Styela clava: one gene and its partners. The protein of the gene in region 4 binds, or shares a complex with, the protein of the main gene of each other region. Links are inferred from orthologs where the notes say so. Each region holds a gene or a part of one and is shown on either strand. Other genes may lie near its edges.

What was found.
Region 1: the proteins of gamma-tubulin complex component 5-like (region 4) and gamma-tubulin complex component 4-like are in contact, whole or in part, in a cryo-EM structure (PDB 9I8M), measured with the Xenopus laevis proteins. The link is inferred for Styela clava from reciprocal best matches to the Homo sapiens genes TUBGCP5 and TUBGCP4. Residues at the interface, in XP_018102626.1 of Xenopus laevis: His233, Leu234, His235, Leu238, Ile241, Trp242, His245, His300, Met301, Thr302, Asn304, Cys305, Ser308, Val309, Gln312, Ala392, Ile393, Leu395, Asp396, Lys397, Arg410, Leu441, Asp442, Tyr443, Asp444, Asn445, Val446, Gly447, Glu448, Ala449; in XP_018110859.1 of Xenopus laevis: Met1, Ile2, His3, Glu4, Leu7, Tyr12, Pro13, Gly14, Ser15, Ile16, Gln29, Pro32, Phe33, Glu60, Thr63, Gly64, Ile84, Arg87, Ala88, Arg91, Arg101, Leu105, Gln109, Leu112, Pro115, His116, Leu117, Val178, Gly181, Val182.
Region 2: gamma-tubulin complex component 5-like (region 4) and nucleoside diphosphate kinase homolog 7-like share a complex: the UniProt entries of both Homo sapiens proteins name them as parts of the gamma-tubulin ring complex. The link is inferred for Styela clava from reciprocal best matches to the Homo sapiens genes TUBGCP5 and NME7.
Region 3: gamma-tubulin complex component 5-like (region 4) and gamma-tubulin complex component 3 homolog share a complex: the UniProt entries of both Homo sapiens proteins name them as parts of the gamma-tubulin ring complex. The link is inferred for Styela clava from reciprocal best matches to the Homo sapiens genes TUBGCP5 and TUBGCP3.

Annotation. Positions count from the first base shown.
Region 1 is NC_135257.1:8,686,704-8,694,638, forward strand, and holds the start of gamma-tubulin complex component 4-like, read right to left. Parts: upstream 3,238-7,935; 5' UTR 2,585-3,237; coding exon 974-2,584; intron 578-973; coding exon 418-577; intron 1-417. UniProt on the Homo sapiens protein: Component of the gamma-tubulin ring complex (gTuRC) which mediates microtubule nucleation.
Region 2 is NC_135256.1:6,399,056-6,407,059, reverse strand, and holds the start of nucleoside diphosphate kinase homolog 7-like, read left to right. Parts: upstream 1-4,584; 5' UTR 4,585-4,706; coding exon 4,707-4,709; intron 4,710-4,816; coding exon 4,817-4,852; intron 4,853-5,800; coding exon 5,801-5,911; intron 5,912-6,245; coding exon 6,246-6,412; intron 6,413-7,095; coding exon 7,096-7,257; intron 7,258-7,794; coding exon 7,795-8,002; intron 8,003-8,004. Other genes in the region: uncharacterized protein LOC144425167, read left to right, coding at 617-776, 1,724-1,799, 2,139-2,265, 2,591-2,711, 3,108-3,226, 3,381-3,410. UniProt on the Homo sapiens protein: Possesses an intrinsic kinase activity. Displays 3'-5' exonuclease activity with a preference for single-stranded DNA. Does not seem to have nucleoside diphosphate kinase activity.
Region 3 is NC_135254.1:11,605,234-11,612,906, reverse strand, and holds the start of gamma-tubulin complex component 3 homolog, read right to left. Parts: upstream 3,350-7,673; 5' UTR 3,332-3,349; coding exon 1,172-3,331; intron 902-1,171; coding exon 710-901; intron 156-709; coding exon 1-155. Other genes in the region: deoxyribonuclease TATDN1-like, read right to left, coding at 3,904-4,827. UniProt on the Homo sapiens protein: Component of the gamma-tubulin ring complex (gTuRC) which mediates microtubule nucleation.
Region 4 is NC_135253.1:15,000,541-15,008,680, forward strand, and holds the start of gamma-tubulin complex component 5-like, read right to left. Parts: upstream 3,124-8,140; 5' UTR 2,907-3,123; coding exon 204-2,906; 3' UTR 1-203. UniProt on the Homo sapiens protein: Component of the gamma-tubulin ring complex (gTuRC) which mediates microtubule nucleation.

The DNA of each region.
Region 1 (7,935 bases), on a different chromosome or scaffold from region 4:
AAAATAATTGAATTACAAGGATTGCTGATTATGAAAATTTGACAATGATAAATTTAGAATCGGTTTTTGGTAAAAATATATTGTTCACCATTTATATTGCAAAATCGTCTATTCAATGTGCGCAGTTGATGCTGTTTTTCTTTATGATATCTTAAAGTAAAATTTGCACATCGAGCACTGAAAATAAATGACATTTAACAATGGAATCGGGTTTTACAGAAATACTTGTCCGAAGCACACTGCATATCTCTTGTTTTTGAGAGATACCGAGATAAGATCACACAAAATTGCTTTGTAACCATTGTGACACAATAAGCTAATATTGTAAATTATTACGCCAAACGTCAGGGTACAGTTAAAGTTTTTTCCCTGAAATTCCCAGCTCTAGTGTCTAATCATTAAAACAATATTCCTTACCAAGTAAACTTCTGAAAACTGGGGTAGATAATATGAAACATTGAGCAAGAAGTGCAGTCAAATAATTATCATGAGCTAACACAATCTGCTCAAAATCGGTTGAGGTAGGATTCTTGATCTTTGAAAGCAGGTTAGAAAAATGAGATTCCAATACATCCGCCTGAACAAAAGCATTAATTCATTATATATTCAACTTCTGCACTATACAGTAATTCAAAAAGCTTCAATAAAGAAACACCAAAGGCAAGCATTTGAATTATACAAATGCACATTCAGCTGTGGGATGCCAAAGTGGTGCTATATTGCCTAGATATACAGGGCATCCCTTTACAATTTTGTTATGAAGTCAGTTCTCAATATATCTTAACCAGGTTTGTTGTTTTTTATCAGCAAGTATTTTTACTTTCTTCAATACAAATGGTATCGATAAATTCTCTATATATTCATGGCAAAAACCCAGATAACCGGTTGCATTCGATCCTGTTTAATTTTGATGCTATTCAGATCGGAGAGATTCAGAGATAGATCAGAGAGATTCAACTGTAAAATACATTACCTGTAAATAGTACTGCAAACTGTCAACCAGATGACTCATATGCATTCTTAAAGTCAGATTAGAAATGTTTTGTTTGATAGAAGCATCATCATCATCAGTACATATAAGTGAACATTTCTCTTGCATTTGAAGTGCCCACAAATTCTGTAAAGCAAGTTGGGCTCTACGAACCCTCAACAAGAATTTAAACAGCTTGTTATATTTTGAAAGTACAGGTGGTGTGAAGATGATATGCAATGGCCATTTAACTTGGAATGTGATACTCAATAAAGACCATGTATCGTTAGAATCCATTATTCCTGATGCATCATATGTGTAACCAGAAGATTGTTCAGATTCTTTAGAAGATTTTGATTCTATAACTAATTTGAAGTTTTGTAACGCACCATCTTCTTCAAGTTGTACTTTGATGGCAGATCTCAAGAATGCCTGGTTAACATCGTGCTCCGTAGTTTTTGTTGGGGGTTTTCTCATTACTATCGCAGATTCTTCTAAAAATACCAGATATAATTCTCCAAGTCCAAGCAAGTAATAGTCTTTTAGCATCATAAAATGAGACACTAGTTTTGCTTTAACAACACACAAATCCCAAAGTTCTCTTGCTACAGTGGATCGAATTTTATTCAACCTGGATTCAAACTCCTCTAAAGAGAATCTATCTTGATTTTGCAACCACAGAAAATCCCTCATGAATTCTTGCTGATTTTCTTTGAGAATCCCGTCCATGCGCTTTCCCTCAACATCAGCAGAAAGTCCCTTCAATGCAACTGCCATGCTAGAGCCTCCAACATGAAGTGCTTGTTGTTTGTGTAGGTCTTTCTCAAAAAGATGCAATGATGAGCCAATAAAAAGAATGACATCAGCATCACGAGAGGGTAAATATGTCGGAAGCATGTCTGCTCGAATATAAAAGATTTCCAATTGAGATCCAAGAGTAGAGGATGAGAAAGTATCCTGGAACACGCTAACAGAGTCATTGGGTCCTTTCTCTTCAGATTTGGAAATGAAAAATTCTTTGTGTCTGTCAATAAGAAGACCATGCAGCAACCATGATGAAAGTTGTCGATACATGACTAAATGCAACCGTTTCTGTATTCTTAGCATTGCTCGCAGCACAACACGATTGCCTGTTTGTGATGCATGATGAACGGTACTTAGAATCTGACAACCATGACTTTTTCTTGATTTTACGATAGATATCAAGTCATACAACGCATCGAAAAGCAAATAATAATGTTCTAGCGAATGGTACACATGCATAAATGTTAATAGAGGATCCGCGAGTATTTCTTTTTCTATGTCTAAAACGGACTGATAATAAGATTCTAATACATCTTCAAGCCCATAACACAATGCTTGCAGGTAACATCCATGCAACAATCCATCAGAATGTTTTTCTGCTCCTTCTGCATATAAAGTTGAATTGTGAGTGTCAATGAACTTTTGAAAAAATATAATTTTTGTTGAAAGCTTGAGAAGTCTATTTAACGATGATTCTTCTGATGGTGATAGGAATGGAAGGCCGGGAACAACTCTAACAATACCATTTGATGTTTCTTTAAAAATACTTCCAGGATATCCTTGCAATGCAAATATCAGGTCGTGCAACATATTTTATGAAGTACTAAAAAATCAATGCTTTGAAATACAAAGTTCCCTCTATTAATATTATAGATGAATAAAATAGTAATCAATCATATTAAAAGAGCGTTTAAATTCTTCTATGTGTGACGTGATGTATATCTAATAGTACAGCATATTTCTGCCTTGCCAACCTTGAATGCAGATGCTATTCCCTCAGTGACTGGTAGTGTGAAAACTCGCAGTAAACAATACCAAGTTGACTGAAAATGTAAACATGTGCGAATAATTTACAAAGCATGGTGGTTTTCGACCAACTATTGATGTCCTTATAGCTTCAAGTAACTATATTTCAATATTTACCCCCATGTTGGGGTTGTGGCTAAAGTTTTAGAGATTGGACTAAATTGGTGTCACAATTGAAAGACGTTAAACCAGTGCCATACACAACACCCAGGGTTAATTAAATTAGGTAACTATTACTAAAATATCGTAGCTTCTTGCACAGCAGTGGCTGCCTGCACAATGACTTTAGATTGAAATTGTGAAAATGGCTCATGAAAAATAAAAGACTAAAACAGTTATAAAAACTTTTAGCAATGGATTGTCAGACACTACATCACTAAGCTGGATTTCATAACAAATTGCATTATTGATAACTAAAAACAATAGCAATAATTTCATGAATCTTTTTTCTGCAATGCTTTAGCTGAACTTTTCAATTTCATTTGTTTGACCATTATCATTTCAGAAGCTGTTAAAGTCAACATTCGAACTAATAAAATAATTAGATTAATTAGTAACGGAAGAGAATAAACAGCTGATATAAATAATCCAGAAGAATCAAAAAATTGATGATTTGGAGACACCCATTTCCAGTTTCTTGCGGCACTTTTGTTAATCCATTCAGCAAAATATATTGCAATGCAAAGTATTAGAAAATACAGACACATGATTGTGATTCTTTTCCAAGTGATAATAGTCAGTAGGATGCAAATGCAGTATATTGTCAATAATATACTGAGAAGTGTAGTTTCTTCAAGCCAGTCGACTGACAAAATTATTTGTGAGAAAATACCAACATCAGATAATTGAGAACTCATTTTTGACAGAATATATGTCTTTATGATAATAGCCTATATACCGTATATCTGTAAAGATAGATAGATAATAGACTACAGTAATATATATTTTTTAAGTCCACCGTGTGAAGTAATTCAAGAAAGTTGCTATAATACCAGAAAACTGCAGGTGAAGTTTGAACATTTTAAGAACTAGTGTGAGCATTATCATAATACATTGACATGCAGACCTGAAGGATCAACATACAAACTTGTCTGCTTGTGCACAACAAAACATGCAGACGTTCTGGCATTTTAGGCTAGTTTGCAAAAAATGAACCTTTCTTCTAATAATTACTGAATTAGCTTTATTTGTATATTTCATTTTAACAGTTTGAGTTTAATGGGTCCTCCAAAAACGAGTACCGGTATAGGGTCTCATGTACTTTCTTACCTGAATAACTTCTAGTGGGCGTGGCGTAACAATTTTTGGATATATGATTCCTGACCCCTACCTGATGACGTCATCCAAAAATTACGTCACTGCGACGTCACAATAACGAAATACAGCTTGCCAAAGTATAGCGACGGTCACCCGTAATGGCGCCTACGAGTATGTCAACAAACTCAATACGTCAGCGACCTCTCTCTTATCGGGGTCGTTGTACAGAGCTCAAAAATAAACAAGAATCACAAGCGACTAAATTGTCGCCAAGGAACGTTCACGATATCCCATTCTGACCAATTTCTGTCCAGCAATAGCTCATGTATCGTGCTACAATCTAAAATAGAGCGTTATACGATACAACTCTAACCAAGGCTTTAGACAAGCAGAAAATACATGTTATTTTACGCAATGGTTGAAGTTGGGTACCACACACATAAAGACATATTATTTTATGTCCAGCAATAGCTCATGTATTGTGCTACGATCTATTAATAGGGTGATATACGATACCGCTCTGAGCTAGGCTTTAGACAAACAGAAAGAACATTTAATTCACGCAATGATTGAGGTTAGGTGCCGCAGACATAAAGACTTGTTATTTAATATCCAGAGACTGATCATGTATTGGGCCACATTTTATTAATAGGACGTGGAACGCTTTCACAAGCAGAAACCGACATATTAATTTGCCTTAGCGCAATGGATGTAGTTTCTTACCTCGATAACTTATACTTATCTTAGCGTAACAATTTTTGCATATATCATTCCTGACCCTCACCTGACTTCGTCATCCAAAAATTACGTCAATGCGATGTCACAATAACGAAATCGAGCTTGCCCAATAATAGCGACCATAATGCAATCGTGATAAATATGCCTGTGTGTCCGGTATGGGTGTAGTTTCGTACCTCAATAACTTCTAGTTAACTTAGCGTAACAATTTTTGCACGTAATATTCCTGACCCTCACCTGATTTAATCATCAAAAAATTACGTCAATACGACGTCACAATAACGAAATAGAGCTTGCCTAATAATAGCGACGATTACTGGTAATGCCACCTATGGATGTAGTTTCTTACCTCAATAACTTATACTTATCTTAGCGTAACAATTATTGCATATATTATTCCTGACCCTCACCTGACTTCATGTTCCAAAAATTACGTCAATGCGACTTTACAATAACGAAATAGAGCTTGCCTAATAATAGCGACCATAATGCAATCGTGATAAATACGTCTGTGTGTCCGCTATGGATGTAGTTTCTTACCTCAATAACTTCTAGTTAACTTAGCGTAACAATTTTTGTATATATGATTCCTGACCCTCACCTGACTTCGTCATCCAAAAATTACGTCACTGCAACGTCACAATCACGAAATAACGCTTGCCCAATAATAGCGAAGATTACTAGTAATTCCACCTATGAATGTACCGGTAGTTTCTTACCTCAATAACTTATACTTATCTTAGCGTAACAATTTTTGCATATAATATTCCTGACCCTCACCTGACTTCGTCATCCAAAAATTATGTCACTGCGACTTCACAATAACGAAATAGAGCTTACCTAATAATAGCGACGTTATTCGTAATGGCACCTATGGATGTAGTTTCTTACCTCAATAACTTCTAGTTAACTTAGCGTAACAGTTTTCGCATATAATATTCCTGACCCCGCCCTGACTTCGTCATCAAAAAATTACGTCAATGCGAATTCACAATAACGAAATAGAGCTTGCCTAATAATAGCGACCATAATGCAATCGTGTTAAATACGCCTGTCTGTCCGCTATGGGTGTAGTTTCATACCTCAATACCTTCTATTAGGCTTAGCGTAACAATTTTTGTATATATGATTCCTGACCCTCACCTGACTTCGTCATCCAAAAATTACGTCACTGCATCCTCCCAATCACGAACTAGAGCTTGCCTAATAATAGCGACGATAATAAAGCCGTAATAATGGCGCTTGCGAGTACGCTATGAGTGTATTTTTGTACCACACAACTAAAGCCTTGTTATTTGATGTCCTTCCGTACGTCATGTATTCGTCCTACCTTTATTCATAAGACGTTAAACAATGTTAAGATCCTTCAAATGTTAATACCCCTACAATGTTTCCAGACCTTTTTCATCTTGCGGTTCACTAACAGCGAAATATTAAGAAAAATGTTTTCTGTTCTCATACCGATCTTTGAACACTCGCTCGCTAAAATTGGTTAACAGAAATTTGACATAGTGGAGGAAGTGGTATAGTATTTGATCTCCAAGTAATTCAGGGGAAATGTGAAAAAGGATGAAAGAAGACCATATTTATAGGCTCTTCAATTTTCTAACTGTTGAAATTTGGAATGGATTCGACTTCAAGCGCAATCGATAATTAAGCATTCGTTCACAATCCTGAGTTAATTTCCAGGATGCATCTCTCATCTATCTGTCGTTACGTTTTAAATAGAACTTATAATCATATTGGATGATTGTAATGAGCAATGAGCTCAATAGGTAAATTATATGAGTAATTGTCAATTTCGTTTTTAATGTTTATGAAATGATCTATTCAATTTCCTCAGCACAGAAGCATCTTCTGACAAACTTCCGAAAAAAGAAAACTTTAAATACAATGATAGCAACGGCTATGTATAGGAACCCAATATGTCTAAACGTTTGTCCTTCGGTAGAACGTGGGTGTTCTATAAAATTATAGCGCTTTTCAAAATTGAAATAGGCACCAAACAAAGCCAAATTTTAATCAGAACAAGTAAAATGCCTATGTCATAGTCGCGCAGAGAAAGGGGAGTAAAATGGAAATCACAAATACAGCACACATTAAAGTAGTGCATAATTATTCACACGTCTGTCTCAAATATTTTCATTGTCCTTTTTGAGAATCTGAGTACCCTGTGTCAAAAGTCTTCCGAATCCGACTATAGGGATAGAATGTCAAAATCCGTAAAATATTTGCCTTTGTATATGTGGCACTACACTCATTGGGGGACCGTAAATTAATATGCCTGTTTCTCATTATCCAAAGTCCATCCAAAGTCTTAGTCCGGCAGATAAGGGGACCTTTTTGGCCCAAGTTTGATTTCAGACATAAAGTTTTTTTTATTTGTGAGTATTCATCTTGGGGTCATTGCCCATCATTTCTACATGGGTGTGGAGTTTGCAGCCTTGAGCACTTTTTTTACGGCTCGATATTTGTATTAGTGTTTTTTGTCAAACCTGTGCATCATAATGACGCACAACCTGAACCATAACCTGTTACAATACTATGTTCAGGTTGTGCGCAATCTTGGTGCACAAACTACGCAAGCACCAAATTTACTAGGAAATAAAATCGATACCTTCTAGGTATTTGTTGAGCCCAGCTTTGGGTCGCGACCCATATACAGTGTATGGAAATACTGTCGAAACATACGCGTAAAATAAAGAGTACTATTTCAAAATACCCGTTTTTTGTTGCAATTAACAGTACAAGCCTGCTAATGTAGTCGCCAGTGGTTCAAGTGGATATACACCCGGTGGAGAACAGTCAATTATTTGTTGGCGAGAATTGTTATGCAGCGGGATGATCACGACGACGCAGTGAAAGATAATGATATCACGAGAACAAGAATGAGAAAATTGCTACATTTTATAGAATATCCCTGGGAAAGAATGTAGTTCATTCTTATGTTCCATGCCAATGCTTTTCAAACTACCAAAGACTCTCAACACTTTTGCTTCTTCTCTTCTATAAAAATACATTGTTATTATATATTCGCATTTCCATCTGTTTGTTCGTGCTCCCAGATAACCGATCAGTGGCCTCCAAGGACGACGGGGTTCCCTTTTAAGAAACCCTGTCATAAACTAAAAGAGGCGATC
Region 2 (8,004 bases), on a different chromosome or scaffold from region 4:
CTTAATAGCGGGTAAAGCACTGCCTTAGTTCTTTGTTACAGTAACTCCTCGTACTTCCTGTAGTTTGACTCTGAACTCAGTCTCTGAGAATAGAATTTAGAGTAGACAAAAACTTTCAGATAACGTTTGTTTGTAAATAACAGTGACAAAACTTGTTTTGTAGCGTAATAATGGGCGCTCCCGTAGTATGTGAACCAAGATGGCCCTGAGGACACCTGAACATAGTAATATACCAGGCCATTTTATTCCAATTTTCTTATTTTATTTTACTACCAGGAGTTCGGGGACTGGCCAAGTGACTCCCGTAGTATTTGTACCTGAAATTATGGCCCAACCTTAACCCGGTACACATACTACGTTCCGGTGTCCGCCACCTAATATTCTGCTCTATCAGGTGTTCCCTCAGACCTATTTGACATATGCAGTACCGGTACCGTATTCTCCCTTTTTAGAACACAAAACAGTCATTGCATCAATATGAGCTGAAAACAATTTTTTAGCCTGTTTTTTAGGTTTGCTTAACGTCAGACATGCACTTCGTATGTTTTTGATGTGTTGGCCATGCCTGCTTTTCTATTGGTTTTATTGAGTTTTTCTTATTTGATCAAACTTTCAGACATTTTCTGCTTCTTCGTTATTGAAGTTAGAGTTGAATGAAAGAGTATGGTGCATTGTTCGAATCACAGTTTCTGATAAAACAGACAACTTTTACGTACATGTTGTAAAGATTGTTGGCAATATGAAAGATTGCATAAATCTTGGGAGGAATATATCAGGTTTGTCCTCAATGTCATTTTTTAGTTAATGTTCAGTTAATTACGGTTTTGATGTTCGGTTAAAAATGGGATCGCCATGCTCCAACAAAATATATCCTTGCTGTTGCTATGTCTTTTTCACTTTTTTCTTTTTCTTTTTCTGATTGTTTCCCAGTCAGTATTGACTAGAATTGTATCTACTAAATTATTTTAGTTTTTAGGCTGTAGGTCAAACAGTGATTGCTGATATCTCTGTCACAGCATTGCGATCACACATAAGTCGAGCTTCTGATTTTATTGTTTCTCTTTTGTAAGAGATCTTTACACTTTCTGCCATATTACGTAAGACTACCTTGTTTTTATCAAACTTCATGAAAATTCTTCACCAGTTTGTAAAAATAAACACAAATTGTTAAAGGTAGACTCAACAGTTTGCGCATTATTCTAAACGCTTGTCATCGGAATGAAATTCTGGGTCCTGCTTGGTTATGACTCCCTCTACCATTTATATAGTCTAAGTACATGTATATGAAGCGTTTAACTCAGCAGTGTGCTGCAGACAGCCCGTCCCACCAAGCCATTCAGTGTGGCCCATGTTAACATTCAGATTTTTCCCCATCAAGCATAAAATCCTAACTGGACAGCTCACGTTTAAAAAGCTGCACACATGGGTAAAAAATTAAAAATACATACTAATTTTGCTCTTGTCGCTGCTTTAAATCTTTTGGCATTTTGCCTGGTGCCTTTATTACTGGAAGGCTAAGCGATAGCCATGTTCTCTTGCATTTTTCACAGCACGCTGGCTAATTTTTTAATTTGTTGTGTACATGGAAAAACTATAGGCCCAGCTAAATGTCTGAAGTTGGTTCTTTGACCTAACGACTAAAATGTCGCACACCCTTGGTTCACTATTCACATTTCCTCTCCCATGTGATAAATATAAATGTCCTATTCTTGAATATTTTTAGTTCTTCCAGAAATATCTCCAGATCTTGGCACTCTAATGTCTGACATGAAGCAATATTATTCACAAAGTACAAGAAGGTAAGTTGTGATGATGGTGAGTAATAGTTTGGGTACTCCCGAAGTATGTGAAGTGAATCAAGATTGCGGATACCGGAACATAGTATGTGTACCAGGTTAGGTTTAGGTCATAATTTCTGGTACAAATTCTACGGGAGTCACTTGGCTAGCCCCCGAACTCGTAATCAAACTAAAAAAGGAAAATTGGAATAAAATTTTGGCCCAACCCTAACCTGGTGCACACTATGTTCAAGTGTCCGCCATCTTGGTTCACATACTTCGGGAGTACCCAAGTAAGACCCAATTCTGAATGAATATACCTGTATGCTTATGCCATATTTGATTTTGTTCTGCTTCAAGGTTGAAGGATTTGATTCAACCATGCAAAGGAGAGATGTACGCTGTCCATGTACCAGAAGAGAATTGTTTCTACAGAGGAATGATATTAGAAGTTTCTTATTCTACTACTTCGTTTACCACTGCAAGGGTATTTGGGAATCCTAATAGATTGTAATGATGACATGGTCGCCTTGCCACAGTCCTCTAAGTTTTTTTTTTCATGAGATACCTATGATTGATATGAATATCAAATATTATTTTGATTTAGTTTGTCCTTCATATGATAGATAATGGTTTGATTTCACATGTGTTTTCATGGTAAATATGGTTTAAATAGTTTGTTTTTATGTCTACACGAGGCACTGAACTAGAATTAATTTAATCTGACTTGGAACATGATTTGTTTAGACTTGTTCTGCACACAAAAAGAAATCTTTCTTTGTAAGCTATGAATCATTTTTTTGCATTTCCAGGTTTTCCTTGTGGATTTTGGAAGAGAAGTCATGGTCTTGGAAAGGTATTTACACCCAATGCATTCAACGTTTATGCATTTACCAAGACAAGCTGTTCAGTGTTGTTTGAATGAGACCGAAGGTACATAAATATCGCATCTGCTAGGGAAATGAGATAATGACATTCTCAAAAAGGCAATATTCTAAGTTGAGGAATTGGCCATTGCACCGATCTTATACTGTTACAATTTCGCTTGCACTGTTAGAGTCCATCCTCATAAGTTCAAGCTTTGATTTCCTGTGATCATTAAATATTTAATTATGAAAAACATGAGTCATGTTTGGAAATTTCGGCGCATAGGAAAATCGTAAATACACAACTATTTTTGAATATAAACAGTTTGGGTTAGGTCATGCTCTTAAATACTGAATCTTTTTTAAATAAGACGATAGACGATTTTTCATACGGTGTTTTTCCTATGCGGCGAAATTTCCTGCAGCCAATTTGCTTTAACCGAAAAACATAATATTTCATCAGATTATAAAGGAGAAAATTTGGGTTCAAATGGAACTCGACCACACCTAGCAATGCAGATTCATGAAAAATGTGAGGAGACTGATGGACCGCTAATAACATCACTTTTCAGGATAGACAAAGTAAGCTGAATAGTACGTCATGCCAATGCTCTGCTCTCATTTTTGAACACTTGCTAATAAGCAAGTTACGTTTACTTATATATTTTTTTACTTATATAGATTATAGTTAATTTTCTTATGGAAAGTGTATTGACTCTCAGTTTATTTTTTCCAGGATGGTCTTCATCGTATAACCCAATTTTGAATCTATGATGACTGTATGGAAGTAGAGTGACAAATCAAAAGACTTTTTTGAAACTGGTCGAACTCTTATGTATCGATTAAACTTTGTAGTGATCACAAAGTGTGATCCGATGCCTTAGTGGGGTTCTTATGTTATTATTTGTGCCAAGCAACATTCACAAAATGAATTTCTTTTCTTTCTTTCATGAATAATAAATTCATATTCACAAGTTTTCATTGTTGTAAATGAAATATGACAGGGATAGAATAAGGTAGGAATTTCGTATTTGTCTTGAGGGAGATGAACGCCTATGATGCAGCATGCGGACGTGTTTGTTTCTCTCAAAATTTGACTTTTTGAAATTTACCCAAATGCCATTCACTAACATGAAGTTCAGTTTAATAGGCTACCATATTAGGGCCAGTCAGTAGTTTATTTTATCACATACCAAAAGTACAATAGACAAAAATAACTACGAGTCACATATAAAACAATACTTTCGGTGTGCAGGGAGGCGCGATAAACCAGAAGAGGTTATCGAGCAGCGTCACCCTGGGGGAGTGAGTCTAAAAATTAAATCATAGTGAGAAAAAAGTCAAACAGGTGGGTCGAAAATGGGAAATGTCGACATCGAAAAGCATCGTGCCTCTGGTGGCGCAACAGCAGAACTCCCATGTTAATCTGTTTAGCAATTCATCAAAAAGAGATGCCGATCTCACTGCTCCATACGTTTATAAGTGGAAATTTAATCAACGAGTCGGTGGATTCCGATATACTGTATTAAAATGAGAGCTTATGACGCATGCCATGTTGATTTGGCATAAATAGGATCAATATATTTTATTTAATCAGCATCACTTTAGGCTTCGCGTGGTCATGTAGGGTAAGCATCTCTCGAGGTTCCTAACGAATTGGATATTGGCGAATCGTACGAGAGTTATTTCTCTGTTGCAGTTGGGCATCGGTATGTTAGTCGTTGTTGGGCATGGAATAGCGGATGCGTGTGTTCTAACAATAGGTGTCTAGGCTTTGTGAATATAAATACGCAATTTAATCGTTCATATATTAAATTTTTCTCTATTTTATTACGCATTGTTAAGTTCTATTTCCTTTCGGTATAAATAATAATACGGTATAAAAATTCTGATCAATCAACTGATGTGACTTTTGAACTGAATCAATAGCGCCATCTATCCATTACCTTGACAACGAGCCGGCGGGTTTGTTTTTCAACTGGCAGTTTTGTTGTCGCTTCACCGGTCGTTAGGCGCTTCTGGTAGTTTTGGACGTAATTAGCAGGAACAGAAAAAAATAAATATGGTATGTTTTATTTAAGTGTATTTTTTAAATTGGGTAATAACGTTATCGGAAGTTTTTGTTATTGTGATCTCAGAACGTCGCTCATCTTTTTGTTGTTGTTTTTACAGTTTCCTGGATATACACAAGAGTACATAGAGCCTTCGGTGGGTATTTTCCCTTCTTAAACAATTTCACTCATTTGTTGTATAGCCTTATTAAGAAGTAGACATTGTGATACAAAGTTAGCTAATTGAGTTAATAACTGGCGCGGCGATGTGGCTCAACGGGCTAAGCGTTAGGAATACGCTCGCCACGGCACCTCTAATTACTCTGCGTGGGTTCGCAGGTTCGAATCCCATGCAGGGATGGTTATGTGCGAGAGGATTGCTGGACTCCCCGCCGTCGTTGGGTGGTTCACGTAACCGCTGGTCGGTTACGGCTTCCTCCACCACCAAGTCCATGCTTCCGAAAACAAACAATACAGTAAAACTAATCCCATACCCGACTTGGAATGGTAACCGGACGAGAGGCCGTGGTTCGCCATATAGATAAGCCATCTTATCGGCTTTCCTCTCCCACGGGATAAATATGTAAATCCTATCATATAGGAATACACTTGTTGGGAAATCTGTGACAATTTGTAGTTCTTCATTTGATATAGCTGTTTTATTGACTGTGTTTGATAATTACCATATATTTCAACAAATGTCATTGATCCCCACGTTTTAAATACATTCAACGCAGCGTCCACAACATAAAGTTGCGAGTGTTTGGCTCAGTATTGGAGGCATTTTACACAAGTCATGTATGAGAAAAAAAATTCTTTCTATCCAATTTTCGTTTTATATAAGCAAAATTTTCCTGTCAATTGTAATTTCCGTCAGTTTATCATAAAGTTTAAATTCCTCTAAGAGTCACAGTTCTTACCACTTCATGGCAGCTATTGCCACAAACAAACCGATGGTGACTCTTGCTATGGGTTATGACGCTATTATCGGTATATTCACAAAGTCATGCACCAGATTTTAGGTTATCATGCGACTTCAGACTCCACAAAATACTTAAAACTGCTTTTGTCGTTAATGCTAATATCCCTTTTTAATTCAAAACAGACGGCTCAAGATCAGAGGTACAGCTTCATTGCAGAATGGTACGATCCGCAAGCTGCATTGATACGAAGATATCAATTTCTTTTTTATCCAAAAGATAACAGTATAGAAATGGTATGGATATTTAAATTCTTTAATATTTAAAAAAACTCTCATTTAAGATTTATTCGATGATCGAGAGCAAACATGGTCATTCCCCATTAATAATAACTGGAATACCATGTTGAATAAATAGTATTTCAAAACTTGCAACTTAAAAAATAGTGTTTTCTGTACTCCAGGCTGATATACAGATTAGAAGTTTGCCATATTCATCAATGAAATCAGATTTTGATTCACTTTTTTTAAACAACCAGTTAATTGTATTATGGCAATTTGTAGTATTAGCGTGAATCAGCTATGCAAAATAGCAGATTATTGATATTCTTCATCAAAATTTTGTATCTAGTATGACATCAAAAACAGGCGAAAGTTTTTGAGTCGAACCAAATCTGACACAGTTAAATTGGAAGACATGTACATTGGAAGTAAAATTCATGTCTATTCTCGTCAACTAACTTTTGTGGATTTTGGAGACAATTTCACCGAAAGCAAAGTGGGAACAAAGAATGAAAGGTAGGTTATATGGAAATAAAAATTTTTTTTATGTCAATTTATAATTGATATAAATAAATAAGTGTTTCCTTGACTTAAACATGATGATTTGGATAGGATTTACATCATATGGCAAACCACAGCCTCTCGTCCAGTTACCAGTTCATGTCGGGTATGAGACTAGTTGGCGAGTTATTTGTTTTCGAAAGCATGGATTTGATGATAGAGAAACTGACCAGTGATTATGTGAACCACCCTACAGCGGCGGGGAGTCCAGCAATCTTTTCGCACAAATCTATCCCCACGTGGTTCGTTCAGTTCAGTCATTTATTTTTGTGCTAATGCTACAACTGGTTTATGGGGTATGATATCTTGGTATTCCTAGAATGTGTTTTAAAGCCAAGCCCCTAATCAACCTTACGTTGTTCTTTATTAGATTTGTTTTGTTATTAATTTCTTTACATTGCAGTAATGGTGTTTTTGAATAAATAGCAGTGAAATTCTATCTTTTCTCCTATAATTTTTGAAGTTTTTACATGGTAATAGCATACCATAAAAAGCTTGCCGAAAAAACTAATCGAAATGCATTTCAGATCTCTTTAGTGATCATAGACTGAATTTTTATTATCTTGTGATTCATTATCTTACTTCTGACAAAAACTCAAAAGCCGTGTTTAAATATCAACTGATATTTTGCTTTGTAGAACACTTGCAATCATAAAGCCAGATGCTGTGAATAAAGTTGGTGTGATCTTGAACCTCTTGAAAGCAAATGATATTCAACCATGCAGAGCAAAGATGGTAAAACTTGTCAGGAAGAATGCAATGGACCTTTATGAAGAACACCGATCTCAACCACATTTCAAGTAAGTCTCAAATTCCCTCAATAAATTCAAGTAGGTATATTTAACAGTAACATTGTGTATGAAGAAGTCTGGAATAGAAGTTTTTAATACCGAAGTATTTTTCAGTATTTTTTTGGCTTTTTTCCACGAATTAGGCTTAGATAGAGCTACCAATATATTGGTTCTATACATATTTCCCTGGAAAGCCAATAACACCTACTGCCTCTCGTCTGTTACCAATTCATGTAGTGTATGGAAATAGTTACCTAGTTGGCTTCATGATAGTGGGGAAAGTTGTAAATGACCAGAGGTTACATGAGATGCGTTATATTGGGGTAGAAGCCCAGCAATCTGTTCGCACATAGGTATACTCACCGCAGATTTCGAATCCCCTTAAGGTGCAATGGCGTGTTCCTTCTGTTCAGCACAATGCCCAATCCCAAGGAGTAGGAACTGGAGAATATCCTCCTAACGAAACTTAAGGCAATTGTAGTGCTCTATAACTTCCATTAAGCAGCCTTCTTTATTATAAACATTTTCAATTTTCCACTTTTGCAGTACCTTGCTGGATTATATGACAAGTGGCCCAGTAATTGCAATGGAATTGATGGGATCCAATGTAGTTAATCAATGGAGAAGATTACTTGGACCTGTAGATTCTGGGAAAGCTAAAGAGAGCGAACCTGGAAGCATTAGGGCCAAGTTTGGAACTGATGGAGTAACAAATGCAGCACATGGATCAGAAAATCAAAAAACAGCACAGAAGGT
Region 3 (7,673 bases), on a different chromosome or scaffold from region 4:
CTCATTTTTGGAACATTTTCTTTCTTGAAAACTCTTCTTTTTTCAATTTCCTCTGCCTCTTCTACGCTATCCTCACTCCAAATTCCCTTTTTGTCGAAATTCTCATAACGATTTCGTCTCGTCATTTCATCCATAGCTTTCTCATAGATTTTACCCTGGAACACATTTTATATAATTGACAAATAACAGGGGAACAGAACAAGTTTTTCAACAAACTCAACAATTCATGGTTGAGCAATGGATGTGAAAACTTATTATAGATTCCTTTTATCTTCCGTGTTCCTTTTTTTCAATTTAGTTCAATGTGTTGTTTGCTGTTTGGCGTAAGTGGGCACGTGCACCAGCACGTCTTAAATCTTTTTTAGATTTTGCCCCCTTTCCTGATTTTCCGTACAATTGTTTGTTTTGCCATGTATTGTTTTGTTGTATTGGAAAATCGAAATAAACACTTACTTACTTAGATATATATAAGGGCTGAAACAAAACTGGGTACTCCTGTAGTGTGAGTACTAGGCTAGGCCATAATTTGATTCCGATTTTCCTTATTTTAGTTCTATTACGAATTCAGGGACTTATTTGTGTTAGCCAAGTGAGTATATCTCACACCCAAAGATTTCAGTCTCTTTCCACAACTTGATGTAAAGTAGTGCATAATTAATTTTCCAAATGAAAAAACCAACCAATAAAAACCAATATAAAAGGATTCTACCTTTAAAGTCTCGAATAAGACAATCTGATCGAAAATTGAACGTAATTGCGTCAATAAATTCTGCGATCCTTGATCAAGTAAGCATCTCTTCATGATTGCTTCAAGAAACTGTCTGTGTGCAACAATTACTTCATCTAAGTCTTTAGCAGATTCAACCCTCTTCAGCAAGTCTGCCCATGAACACTCCAAAACCTAGATGACAAAAGAAAGTTAAAGTTGAACCAAATTAGGAATAAGGCACCTTTAAAAAAGAAACAGTTTGTCATAAAAACATCAGTATAACAATTTCGAACACTGTAAAAAATTTGTTGAGTGCAGTGGCCAAGTGGTTAAAACATTGAGCCTATGTCGACAATTGACATTACAGGTTATAGATCTTGATTGATGATTCCAATCCCAAATTCAAATGATGTGATAGAAACACATACACATAGCGCATGAAACGCAAAATAATTCCCATACCTCGAATGCAATATAGTACTGAATTTGGTGAACCAAATGAACCATCTGAGCAGCAAGAGTGTGGCACATGTGAAGTATTCCTCTAAGTTCAGGCAAGTGAGGAGAAAGTCTCATGGATTGTTCCATTGTATCTGTCCATATAGTAGCAAGATTGTGTTCCATGCGTTTTGCTCTCCAAAGAAAATTGAAGCATCTGAGATAAAGTAGCATAATATCAGGAGTGATAATTGTACTCAGTGGTTGATTGATGTGATAATCAAGACTGAAAACATCCCATCCAGTATCGCCTGGATTTATTTCCAGAAGACGTATGTTCAAACGAGACTGAACATCTTGATCTTCGAATTGTGCATTTGTGGCTCGGACAGCAGCTTCAACGAGGCCGTTCAGGTTATGTCTGTACAATTGACCAGCAGGTCTCGCTAAATCGTCATGCAACAAGTCTAGTAAATGTCGAACAAAATCACCCTGACCAAGTAAGAGGAATTTTCTCATTGCTCGAAGGTGGGTCAGAAGTTTGTATCTGTCGCTCAGGACATTCAAAAGGCAACGACTAGTGGCCTCATAAGCTTCGTCCACTCTCTCTTGCAACTCTGTGCCAAAATCTAACGTACTGTCCAAATGTGCATCTTCAGGTAACTGAAATTCTTGCTTGTTTCTGATATCAACTTCTGTACGATCACGACAAACCAGCCTAAGAAAATTCAAAGACTTTCCAACAAGTAAAATTTTTCTTGCTTGGCTGTCTGTCATAAATGATGGAACCATAGATTGTCTCAAGTGATACTTGTCATACCACAACCGATCGTTGTTGACGGTAGGATCCATTGCAACAAAAAATTCATGAAATGTGTCCTGTAGTTCACCATCATAAATCCATCGACTCAAAATGTAAAAAATTGGTTGCGTCGATATGACCAAAAGACGTTTTGTCAACAACCGCATGCTAACATCACCAGTTTGCATAAAAGCATGAATAGTGGATGCCAAGGCACCACCTTTCCTGTCCTTACAATTATCTACGAGCATAGCGACCCATTGCAGTCTCTCTTTAGGTTCAGATGTCCAATCCAAGAGTTTGTAAAAAGTTAGACGACTCCCAGCATCACCTGCAAAACCCTGATCTTCTTTGTATGATTGGGACTGTAATACAGATAAGAATCTGTAATACTCTTGCAACTCTTGAACCAATGCTGCACAAAAAGCCTGACCGACTAAGCCGAAAGCTAAATCCTTACTATGTTTATCAATATACTTTCTTATTCTGTTATGCAACCAGCCTAGTTCTGCAAGTTTATGAACCATTTGAGCAGTACGCTTATCGACAGTTGCTTTCGGAGTGATTCGAAATGCATCTTCTCTTGAACTCATTTTAATATTTTCACTTTCAGTGCCACGAAAAACATGCAAAAGTTCGCGAAGTAGAGTGCTGTCTGCAATTCTATTCACAGGAACTTTTGTCTTGTTGCTATGAGAAGATGATGATGAAACCCTTGACTTGTCCTGAACACTGGATTTATATTTTCCATCATTGCTTTGTACAGTTGTACTTGGATCCGTTTTCAATGTCAAATTGTATCCTGTAGAAGGTGTTATTCCCCATGCAAGACGTGAACCAAGAGACATACTTTGAAAATCGTTTGCAGGGGTATCAATGCTACTTGGCAAACCACTATTTGATGATCTTATAGTACCTTGACTATTAACAGTTCCAAATCCACTACTGGCATTCCCAGAGGAATGCAGACGGCTTGCTGGTGGAGTCAAATCCATAAGTGGTGTTGACGATATAGCAAGGCCCTGTCGAAAAAGCAACGTATTTTTTGTGTAATTTTTAGATTTATCTTTTGACAAACTCCTCAGAAGGTATAAGACAGACCAAAGGTTTTGTATTCGACCTGAAGCAGCAAGTCTTCTATAAAGATCACTTATTTTGGCAGCTTTTTCTTGCATTCCTCTTGTGGCCAAATCTCGTTTAATGCGATCAATAACAGTGTTTTCATTGCAGTTCGGTATCGGTTGGTCTCCAAGGTCCGATAGCATTCTTAATGCATATGCAGTCAACTTCTGGGAATGCCTTGGATTATCATCACTCAATAATACACACAATTCGTTAATTAGAACTTCAGGAGTTGGCTGATTTCGATTTTTCGTTGCCATTATTATTTAAAGATGATACTATATTAGAAAGTCATGTAACAAATTTAGGAAGCTGAAAATTGAGTTTTTGAATAAATTGATAAATGTAACCCAAACTATCCCCATTCGAACTACATTTTCATCTATATTTGTTTTGAAAATGGTTTCAAATACGATACTCAAAAAGAGTCTCAGTAACTAAGTATAATCGTCTAATTAGCCATGATCAGTGGCCAAATGAAAAGGATTGATAAATGTATCTAACTAAAATCAAAAAGCATCTGAGCAGAATTGCTGAAATAAACAATATATCACAAAATAGGCAAATATTATCATTTTAAAGATCACCTTCATATTGATAGAACTTTTAAAACAAGCGATACAAAAATCAGCTTCAAAAACATCAGGAAGTCTAATTGTTGTTGTCGAAGTAAATTCTAGTTTTTGCACACAAAAAATGTTTCTAGAATGTCAATTGTCAATATGAACTCTTGATTCTTTTTTGGTGCAATAATGAAACTTAAAAATAGAACTGTATGTGTCAAAATGCAAGATGATTTTTTCAGTGATAAATCTAGCTTTATATCCTAAAATCAGACATCGTTTTTCCTGTCAAAAAATAACTTTTTTGTATTTTCAAACATTGTGGTCGCCAGTTCCGTCAAATCCTCTTTTCTAGCTTCAGCCATTACTTCTAATACTTGAACAATATTGCACGGTTCATTGCGACCTTTTATACAATGGTCTTTTTCCCATTTCTTTTTCGTTGGAAACTTTGTTTTAATAAAAGAATGCCCAGCATGCGTTGGTTTTATTTCACACCACGGTGCATCAGTTTCAATCATAAGTTTGTCTGATGGGATAGAACAAATGGACATTAAATTTTCTTTTTGCTTTAAAGAGCATCCATTTATTCCTATAAACAAATTTAAGTCTATTATTGCTTTCGCTTCTTCAGGTGTGCCATCAAATGAATGAACAACACCTCCAGATATTCTATTACGATTCTGTCGCATTATATCCAAAAAATCATCATGTGCATTTCTGCAATGTAAAAACATTGGAAGGCCTGTATGTTCCGCCAAATCAAATTGTTTAACAAAATACTTCAACTGAGTTTCCTTAGGACAAAAATGCAAGCGATCATAATCTAACCCACACTCACCAATGGCTACTACTTCATCACCATTGCTAGAGGCAATATCAAATAATGATTTATAATATACTTCAGGACCATGTTCATCAAATTCTTGGCATCTGGTAGGATGGCATCCCACTGTTGTAAACAAAAATTGACTGGCTTTACATATTTCCAAGCTATCCGCGCAATCCTGAAGGCATCCACTAGTTACAATGATTTTATCCAATCCAACTTTTTTCGCTCGATCAATGACATCCTTAAAATCATCTTCATGCTTCTCTTTACCTCTATAAACTCCTCTAAACACAGGATCAGTCAAATTTGCTCCAATATCAATAAATTTGGCCATTCTATAAAGTCGTGTTAAGTTTTTCATTTACCGTTGTCCCGACATCCACAGATAAACATATCCGTCTCTATGAACGGTAATATCAGAATACTGTAATAGAGAGAGAGAATTTATTTTTTCGTCAAACCAGAAAACATATAATAGGTAAATATAAATGATAAGAAAAGTTTTCGGTAGATGACTGGGTGGTAACGATACAACCATTTAGTATCTGAGTCAGATACCACCCAATACACCCACTTACAATAGATAAATAGACACAGGTTCTGGTTTGTTCCACTCTTAGTTTATAAAAATCTCTATACACCGTGTACAAAAAACGTGATCTGATTAGAAAGAAGACGAATTTCGGAGTAATCTCAGAATCTAATCAGGACCGGGGTATATTTTTTTTAAATGAGTTTCCAATTCCTAAAGCAAATATTCCAAAAATTAAGAATTCATTACCAAATATATTAAGTTACAAGTATATAAATCCAAATATTCTATCTGTTATTGAAACCTGTTATTTAATCTAATATTCAATAATTTTAGCAGGGAGGCTGGAACAAACTAAATTACGATAATCCAAAATATATTTTTTGCCATGTCATTCTCCAATTTGTCAATCTATTAGACATTGGAAAGTGTATTAATCACAGTGAAATAGTTGATTCATTAGAGAGCTACTACATGAAAATAATAGGCTTATGATCCCCGATCATATGTATCTGAATTGCAATTCAGGGATAGCAGGGAAGGCAGATTGGTCATATCACGCCATGCTTGTCTCGATAATAATCTAAAGGAATCATGGCCGTTATGTAACCAGTTTTTTTGCTAAAAACTCTCTAATTCTATGGAAAAACTTTTTTTTCAGGAAATCTGATTATTAAAAAGCAATATCGAAAACAAAAAGTTACTTACCCTTCGACACAGTACGGTATATATATCAATTTCAATAGGAAACAACTCAAGGATATATCAGTATATAAAGGAAACATATCTGAAATGGCCATGTTAATATTATACTCAAATAGTATGATTCAACTAATGAAAATAGGATATAATCTGAATAATCGCATGCATGAATTTAGTGTGATCAGTTATTTCTGTATTTGGTGAAGGATTTCTAATAGTATTGGCTGAATGTGCAAAAATATGAATTTGGATTTTATTATCTGATGCAATAATACGATTTGGCTTCAACACCCCAGACATCCAGTCATACATCAAGTACACGTTTTTAATTCAAGTAGTATTTTAAAAAAATGTGATGCCACATGAGATTCCTGTCAGATTTAGCTTTAGGCACACAGATGTTCCATGTCATACGCGTTTATTGTAAAACGGTTGACTGTAAATAAAATGAAATAATCATTAATCAATAAACAATCACAAGATGAGGGCGGAAAGAAAATGCATAACCAGATAGTTAATAGAAGATAAACTTACATATTGTAACGCTCCAAAGGCCTAAATCGACAAGAAACTCACAGGTAACGTGAACGATAATGTTATTAGAATAAAAATAGCAACTAAATTTAGAAAGCAGTTAATAGGAATGCAATATAAAAATACATGAACAATTAAAGCAATAAATGATGACGATGGTCATATGGGGCCCCGGTTACGATACCCTCAACACAGCTCTACCTAACGAGACCAAATGCCACCCACACGCTAAGTCAGTAAAGCGGATAATGCGAAACCACTAACATCATAATAAGATTAAACAAGGACGTCCTTCGGCGCGTAAAGTCGGTATGCAAGAGCCACGCGTGACACGTCAGATGCAGTGAAGCCCGCGAAACTCGCGTCAAAACAGAAAAGCAATTATCGATAAAAATTAGCCAGTCGGAACACAAGGAAAAACAGCGTTCAAAATATAATCAACTGAAAAGAAACCTCGGGTCTAGTATAGTTTAGTACCACAAGTACTTCCAGTGGGCCTAGCATAACAAACTTTGCATATGTTATTGCTAACCCCCACCTAACTATGCCATCCAGAATTACGTCACTACGACGTCACCATCACGTCATAGGGCTTGCCGAAGTATAATTACGATCGCCCGAAATGGGATCTGCGCCGATCTCGGGTCTCGTGTAGTTTCGTACCTAACGTACATCTAGTGGGCGTAGCATAACAATTTTTTGATATGTCAATCCTAACCCCTATCTGATTACGCCAACCAAAAATTAAATCACTACGACATCACAATCACGTCATAGAGCTTGCCAAATATACGCCCGATCGACCGAAATGGCATTGGCGCCGACGATAAAGAACTGACTGACGTTATCGGTCTCTCTCCTATTGGAATTGTTTCGACGAGAAAACGTGAGAAATAACTGTTCGATTTCGGGTGCTCGGTTGCGCGTCTTGGATGGCAGTTCGTATAGTTTGAAGGGCTCTATTACGTCACTGTGACGTCGTAATGACGTAATTTTTGGATGGTGTAGTCAGGTGGGGGTTAGGATTGATACGTGAAAAAATTGTCATGCTACGCCCACTAGAAGTATGTTAGGTAAGAAACTACATGAGACCCGGCGATCTCTCTCCTATCGTGATCGTTGTGGCGAGAGAACGAAAGAAATAGCTTGCTCAATTTTGGGGGATACCGGTACGGTAGTCTGCGCGTTTTGGACGACCATCCGCATACTTTGGTGGGCCCTATTACGCCACTGTGACATCGAAATGACGTAATTTTTCGGTGATGTAGTCAGGTGGGGGTTAGGATTGACATATGCAAAAATTGTTGAGCCAGGCCAACTAGAAGTGCATGTGGCACTAAACTATACCGGTACCGGTACCTACCAGACCCGCCTACTGCTACGGTATACATCAGAATACCGGTAAGCGATATAACTTCAACGTTCGTAAATACCCATAT
Region 4 (8,140 bases):
ATTTACCTCAATTAATAGTGTTTCGAAGAAAAAGGTACAATACATTTGTATTCATTAATTTCAACATTTACCTCAATTAATGGTGTTTCGAAGAAAAAAGTACAATACATTTGTATTCATTAATTTTGACATTCACCTCAATTGTCCTACCATCAAAGCTATAAAAAAATGATATAATAGAAAGCACATCCTATTAAAAATTATTATGACAGCAAAAAAAAAGCCAGAGATTCAAGACTCAATGGTACAGCTCCTCTACTAACGAGGTTTTGTAAAATAATACCAAGGAAATCACTGCATTCCTTGTATTCCGATTCATATTTATTCAAACTCTCAATGGAAATAGACTCAAGTCCTCTGTTCCACTTTAGATGTAAAATAACTGCGAGATTAAATATTTTACGCAGTGTTCCTTGTATCATCTTGTCTGCTTGTTTCTTTTCATGTAGAAGACACAAAGTCATAACACGGTCCAAAAATTTGTGGTGAGCTTTAATAATGTCATCAATATTGTCTGCTGCACCAATGTGGGTGAAAAATACCTCTTTTTCTGCTTGGATTACACTCGTCATAACGAAATTATGCCAATGCAATATTAGTCGCAATATTTTTGAACGAAGTAGGGCAAGCCGATGAGCATATACCAAACTGAACCCGGTTTCAGATTTAGACTTTGGCTGAATAGTGTTAAACTTCAAATTTTGTAGACAAAACAAACAGTGTTTCATCTGCATCAAATATCCAAATATTGAATTATAGGATTCTCTGACCCAGTCGGTAAAAATAACATTTAGTGGCCAGTTGATATCAAAATACAACTCTATAATATCTGTCGCCTGAATCAAATTATGAGCATTATTTGTAGTATGTTTTGATCTATTCAAAGTCACTGTTATAAAAGGAAGAGCAGCTTCGGGATCTCTGTCGGATATTGCCTCCTGAAGAGATGCTCTCAGACTCATAATGTCTTCCCAATATTCACCAGAACTCATTTTTCGAAAAATGGTTGAAGTGAAGTCAAATATAACATCACCCCATTCCATTAGGTAAAATTTATGAAAGCATTCAATATTGAAAATAAGTTTGTACTGATTTAAAAACATTTGCAGCAAGGCTTGATCAGCAGTTTGAGACTTAACTTTAACCAAATTATGAAGTGAACTTTGAATTATGGTGGGGACATGTATTTGCTTGTCAACATTTGTTGCAGTTGCATTAAATCCAACATCAGGCATATCTGAATCTTCAAACAATCTTTTAAAATTCAACAGTAACATGCTATCACATGCACTCTTTCCTTCAAACAGATTTTCCTTTTGGGGATTTTTGGTAATTGTATTCACGCTTGTAGACATACTATGAATAAATGCATCATGAAAACTTAATTTAGATTCATTTTTCTCAACTTTTCCTAAGGCAAGCAATACCTCCATTGATTTACCTGCAACAATAACATTGTGCAGAACACTACGCAACCACGATAAATGTTTCATACAATCTTCTGATGCCAAAATAAATGCATCATTCCAAAAAGCTTCAGACTTGACATCGTGACAAATAGGTGAGCGTTGTACTATAAATTCATAGTAAGGGTCAATAAGGGATCCATGAGACATCCATTCATCCATCATATCAAAATAAGGACAAAGAGCATCTGCCCAAAGTTGAATGAGAACATTCCATAATTGCGACTGCTTCAAAGATTTTGTAAGACAATCAGATTGATCCAATATGCTATTATACAAAGTCCCCAATAAGCGAGATGATTTTTTAGCATTAGAATCGCTGGGTTTGTCTAGAGAGACACTGTTTTGCAAAACATCATGAATTACTGAAAGTTCATGTAACCGAGGAGAGAGAATTTTTATAACATTTCCTAACAATAAAGTTTCCTCATGAAGAAAGATACGCCGCTGCAGGCTCATTAAGTCGGCACGGAATGATTTCATGAAATTTAGAAGAGATTCTGAGAATGCTTGATAGGTTTGACACTCCTGTTGTGATGTGGTGAATGTGAAATTGATGATATTCCGCACTATGTCACCATACCTCGCGATCTTTAACAAAGCAGTCAAATATGATGTTGGAGTAGCATGATTAGTTTTAATTTCTGCATTTGGAACGTGTTTGCCATTTACAAATGGAAAAACATGAAGATTTTGCTCCCCACTCAGAAGCCACAAAACTTCTCTGAGTATGTAAACTTCTTTAATATCAGATTCTGATAGTTTGCGGAAACTTTCCAAATCACAGTGTATACTAGTTTTGTTAGCTTTCCAATATTCTGGTACTAATTCGCAACATACCTGTAGTTTATTAATGTTCTTAATTTTATTTTCTTTGGACTTTAAGGTTATTGAGGTATTGAGTGTTGTATCATTTCTGTGCAGGACATCATGTAAAATTAGTTCTTCATCCTCAGAAGTTGGTGGGGTATCATCCCAAGCCCACTGTGTCGGATATGGAAGTTCTTCCCCTTGTAATAAATATTTGGGCCAGTCAAACAACCCACAGTCTTGTTTTTGTGGAGAATTTAGTTGAACGTAATCTGTGTTGACAGGGTTTTCTGATAAATTCAACAATATTGACAGAAGACAGTAATGTATTCGACTTCCAGTGCCAGATGACTCACAAATGTTCGATTCAGAAAATGACACCTTGAGGTTTTTAAGAAGTTCTGCTTTACGCGGTTGTGAATTAATCAGAAATTTTTCACACATCCCATCAATCCAACGTTCTACCTTGCATTCGTTAACATCAAGAAAGCTATGATGCTGGAACCTGGACAATGCAAACGCTTTACAAGCATCATGATTTCTGCCTCCTTCTTCATAGCATGTTAAACTTTTAACAAGTCTTGCCGTTGCATTTGTAACCTTCTTGCTGAGTTTTAGATCGGAAATCATTGCACAGTTATAGAAGTCTGAAAACTAAGTCACAATAATTTAACAGGTTCCTTAACACAGTAACAGTTACAGTACCTAACATTTGGCATCAAGTGCGAGGCGCAGTTCTTACCACTTCATGGCAGCTCCTGCCACGAACGAACCGCGGCAGCTCTTGCCATGGTTTTATAGCGCTATTCAGTAATGAGTATTGACGGTATATTCACAAATTAATGTACCAGATTTTAATTGATCATGCGGATTTATATCTACTTAAACCCTAACCCCAAATCCACCTAAACTGTATCCATAGGAAAAACGTTCCAACTTACCCAATATTTGTCACCATAAGGGACAGCCCTGTCTTTACGGCCCACCTGCCGTAGCTACGGCAGCAAAATTTTACCTGCCATAGGTTTTCAGTTTGCTGCCGCGGTACGGTACCTTAACGGCAGCTCGTCATTGGTTTGTGGCAGCTAAAAAGTCAGTCGCCATAGGTTTGGCTGTAGCGGCCATGGTATGGAAATATCGCCATGGTTTTGCGGCAGCTGCAGACGCCACAGAGTACTTAAAACTGCACTTGTCAATTGCGAGCGCCGCCGGTCCGTCGCTGGTTGCGTTCGCCTCACCTTCGGTTCTCCGTCGGTGCTCTTGACTGAGTGTTGGCGGTGGCCGATAAGTTTACTTTGAAAAAATTAGAGGTTCAAAGCAGGCTGTTCGCCTGCATAGTGTTGCATGGAATAGGACCTCGGTTCTATTTTGTTAGTTTTCGGAGCACGAGGTAATGATTATTAAGAGGGACAGTTCAAAATATGAATTTTTGATATTTCATTGACATAGCTAATTCCCAACGTTTAGTAGGCCTACTCAATAACAAAAACAAGCACATATTTGCCCTGATTAAGGTTACTTAATTATTCAATAAATTCTTTTTGCTGCATAGCAAGTCCAGCCGTGGCGCAATGTTTGTTTATGCAGGCCTAAATGATGAATTACAATGTCTGACCACCGATGGCCTGGTCCCTATCCGTAATTGTTCACTCTTATTGAGAAAACTTAGCATAAGGCATCAGTTTGTGCGCTCCAAATTATCAGGGAAAAGCTCATGAAGCACCTAAACGAAAAATATGCTGCTTCAAAATAAAGCACAATTAGTCATCGTTTATATGTACTTTATGCCCTTTGAAGCTAATCAAAGTTAACTTTTCTTTATTATCTCTGCCTAGTTTTTCTTTAAAACGCTAAAAAATAGCTCATGTTCGATCAACTCGGTTCAGCAAATGAATAAACTACAGCCTACGAAATTGCAGCATGTGTGGTTTACTTCTTCTGTTACGTGGCAATAGGCCCCAACGTAACAGAAAGTAAACAATATAGAACGGTACAATGAATTTGATTTGTATACAAATCATTTGCGAATAAAACATTTAGAACAAATAAAATATGAGATATGTTTAGAGGCGCACTTAGCTAATCGGGTCTTACGATCAGAATATGCATTGGTATGCAAGCGCGATGACCATGTTTCCCCGAAAAGACCTAACAGAAGACCTAGCCTGAATTTCAAAAATGGTTTTAATATAAGCGCTACCCTTAAAAAAGACTTCGTTGATAGCGCATTTTTTTTTACCTAGTCCAGTGGAAGTGCGTCGTTTCAATTTTGTGATGGTGTTATAATAAATAAGTTTAATTCCGAAAATTCGTTTTTTTGTAGATAAAGATTATTTTTTCTTTATTTTTCAAGAAGCGTTGCGCACTCCCATCCCCCTTGCGATTTCGTATTTTTATAAAGCAGGCTTTTCTACCATGGCCTATTAAATGTGATTTCACTGAATTCCGTTAGGTTTTGTTTGTTCGTTTATATGAAACTCATTGCAATAAAGGTCTTTTATTAAAAGGTATCTCATACGTATTTTTACGTGAAGTCGCGACTTGAGAATATTTTTGGAGGGCGTCACAATACAATGAAGTTCGAGAACCACTGAGTCCTAGTCGATAGCGAGAAAACTTTTCTACTTCAATAATCTATATGTAGCAGGTATTTTAAATGAAAACGTTCTATTAAATAGGTAAATGGAAATAGCTATTCATATTTTGTATATTAAAAAATCTCGTTATTTTCTACATTCCCCCAAAATAAGCCCTAGTGTTATTCTCGAAAGAAAATTGAAGACACTGTCTTATTTCTGGGGAAACACGGTATAGAAATGTACCAGGAATCGTAAAATTTTTGTTTTACACAATTTTTAATAATTGTGTTTCGAATCAAAAGACTGAAAAAGTACAATAGATATAGTACTTCGTGCAAAATTGGTGTTCACTATGCGGCCCCTAAAATTCGATTTGCGGCCCCTTCCAGGGCCGCAGCCCCTAGTTTGGGAAGCCCTTTCAAAGGGAGTTTGAGGGGCGTTGACCTGGCAACCACTAATGTACTGAATATATATATTACATGAGCTATATATTTCCTTAAACTTTAATCATGTATTAGAGTTTTGCAGGCCATGTTGAACATGCTGCATTAAAATTATTTTTACGGCGTCGCTTTTAATTATTTTAGTGTCAAGGCTTGGAATAAAACCAGGATACAATTTCGATGCATTATTGCCGAATCTATCAAGTAATTTTCTGAAAATCAAAGTAAATTTATATCCGCTTAGGCCTCTCATAAATGACCAATACGAAGGAACATTATTATGGGGCTCAAAAATACACACTTGAACTAATACACAAGTGCATAAGCCGTACAGTAAAGCATCAAAATTAGAAAAATAGGGCAATATATTTACAGATACCGCCTTCATACACAGTATTTCAAGCAATTTAGACAATCCGTACATTGTAATTGCTGTGCTAGGGTAAAATACAGAACTTGATCCAGCAACGAGTCCAGAAATGGCTCCAAATAATTCATGATAATCACGTCCTATCAATCTTCTAAGGAAACAGTTGGTCAATTTAAACAAGCCAGTATAAGCACAGAAAAACTTTGCCAACGAAAAGTCAAAAGCGACTTTTCTTAATACTAAACTTTGTCTATTTGTTAAAGCCTTGAAAATGGCACGATAACAGAATATCAATTGCATTAGATAGCCTAAAGCAAAATGTTTGACCGAACTTGATGCGGCGTTGGACAAGCAACCACTTGTATGTCGACAGCACAATCGGTGAAAAATGAACTGCTTATGTCCAGACGACATATTTACCTTCTGCTTGATTTGATAGACTTCATTGATAGATGTAAAGAATTCTCGTTCTTCCCCGAATACTTTGGCAAGAATTGATTGCATGAAAGTAGGCAATTTTGAACCTCTGTAAAGCCCCATGTATAAGGAACTGATAACAGCGAACAAGTAGGTTACTCCTCCATTGATAGGCTCCACGCACCCTCTGGATGTCAACATTTTGAATATAGTTTGCATGGCAATATTAAGTGCGTACACAGCAAGCATGCCTCGTCTCGACTTCTTTTCAATAAGAATGCTAAAAAACGAACAAAAAAATCCGACGACGAGGCCAAAAATGCCATGGAATTTTCCGAAAATTTTGTAATACCAACAAAATGCCATCATAAAATATGTAGAATTCATTGTAAGAAAAAATGTCGAACGTAGTATAGCAATTATGGTATTTCTTGCAAGCTTCTTCCTGTTTAACTTTGTGCTTCTCAGTTTCCATATTGCTATTAGAGTGTAAAAGGGAACATATAGCTTCAGAGAGAATACAAGCGCCTTCCGAAATATGTCGTACTGCGAAGATATACATGAAGAATTCCAAGTGTGCCCCAACTCGTAGCATGTACAATGAACCGCATCAAACGGACCAAGTTTAGTCTGAAAATCATTGCATCTTGCCTCTTTGCTAATATTGATCATCTTGCTGTTTTATTTCCTTTTTATTTCTTCAAACCACATTACCCAAACGCTAAATACGAAACAGATCGGTAATACTAGTGAAAAAATATATTCAATATGACATAAAACCTATCTGTACTGAAAACAGCATGTACATGGATGGAATAAAGAACAAAACACTACTAAATAGCTACGCATTAAACATTCTTTAGCTTCATCAGGGATAACACGCTCCGATAGATTTTACGGTTCATCGTTTCGTTTACGTAAAAAGTAATGCGCGTAACCTACGTGTGCAACATGCTACCGGTAAGTTAAAAAAGAAGCAGGGTATTTTATTGAATCATGTCACAAAAACTTTCTATCCGTCACGTCACCTGGTTTACTTCGCTGGGTAAGTATGATAAAGCCACTGTTGATTAAAAATAGTTACTTTTGATGACTATGTAAAATCATAGCCTAGCTTTGACAAATTAACAACATAATTTACTGGACCGAACCCGTTGCAAAGGTTCGAGGTATTGGTATCCAGGCCGAATATCGTGTCACAAAAACTTTCTATCCGTCACGTCACCTGGTTTACTTCGCTGGGTGAGTATGATAAAGCCACTGTTGATTAAAAATATTTACTTTTGATGACTATGTAAAATCATAGCCTAGTTTTGACAAATTAACAACATAATTTACTGGACCGAACCCGTTGCAAAGGTTCGAGATATTGGTATCCAGGCCGAATATCGACTGTCACAACAGCTACTGTCATAATGGCGACTTCATAATAGCGACGTTATGATAGAGACTTAATTAACTCGTGTTAGGGTTGGGGACCTCTCTACACACGTATGCACGCACAAACAGGCAAACACTGCGTAGTGAAAGATCGAAACCAAGAGGGACCTTAAAACAACATTTTATTTGAACTAACCCTAACCCTATCATAACAGTCGCAGTTTCAATGCGGTCGCCATTATGACAGTTGCTCACTAGATTCCGTCGCTAATATGAAGTCGCCATTATAACAGTGCTATTCTGACAGTCGCATTTGGAACCCGAGCCGAGATATTATCGATTTTGTGAAGCGACCAGACATTCGTTACTCATACTTTGCTTCCGCACACGATGACTGCATTCAGACTCTTTGTCTAATCTAATGGAAGAACCAAATAAAGAAATATATATATTGATGTTTACGCCAGCCCACGTACCGCGGCATGATTTCAATACTTTCTTTCAATCTGCAGCAAGTAATAGCCTATAGCCCTACATGACCAAAATAATTTTGCGCATCATCACCGAATTCTCTAGCATTATTGAAGTTATTGTTTTTCCTCTGAATCTTTCTCTCAGACCAAATTCGATTCTATCTTGATATTTCAATATAATATATATAGATTATATTAGAAT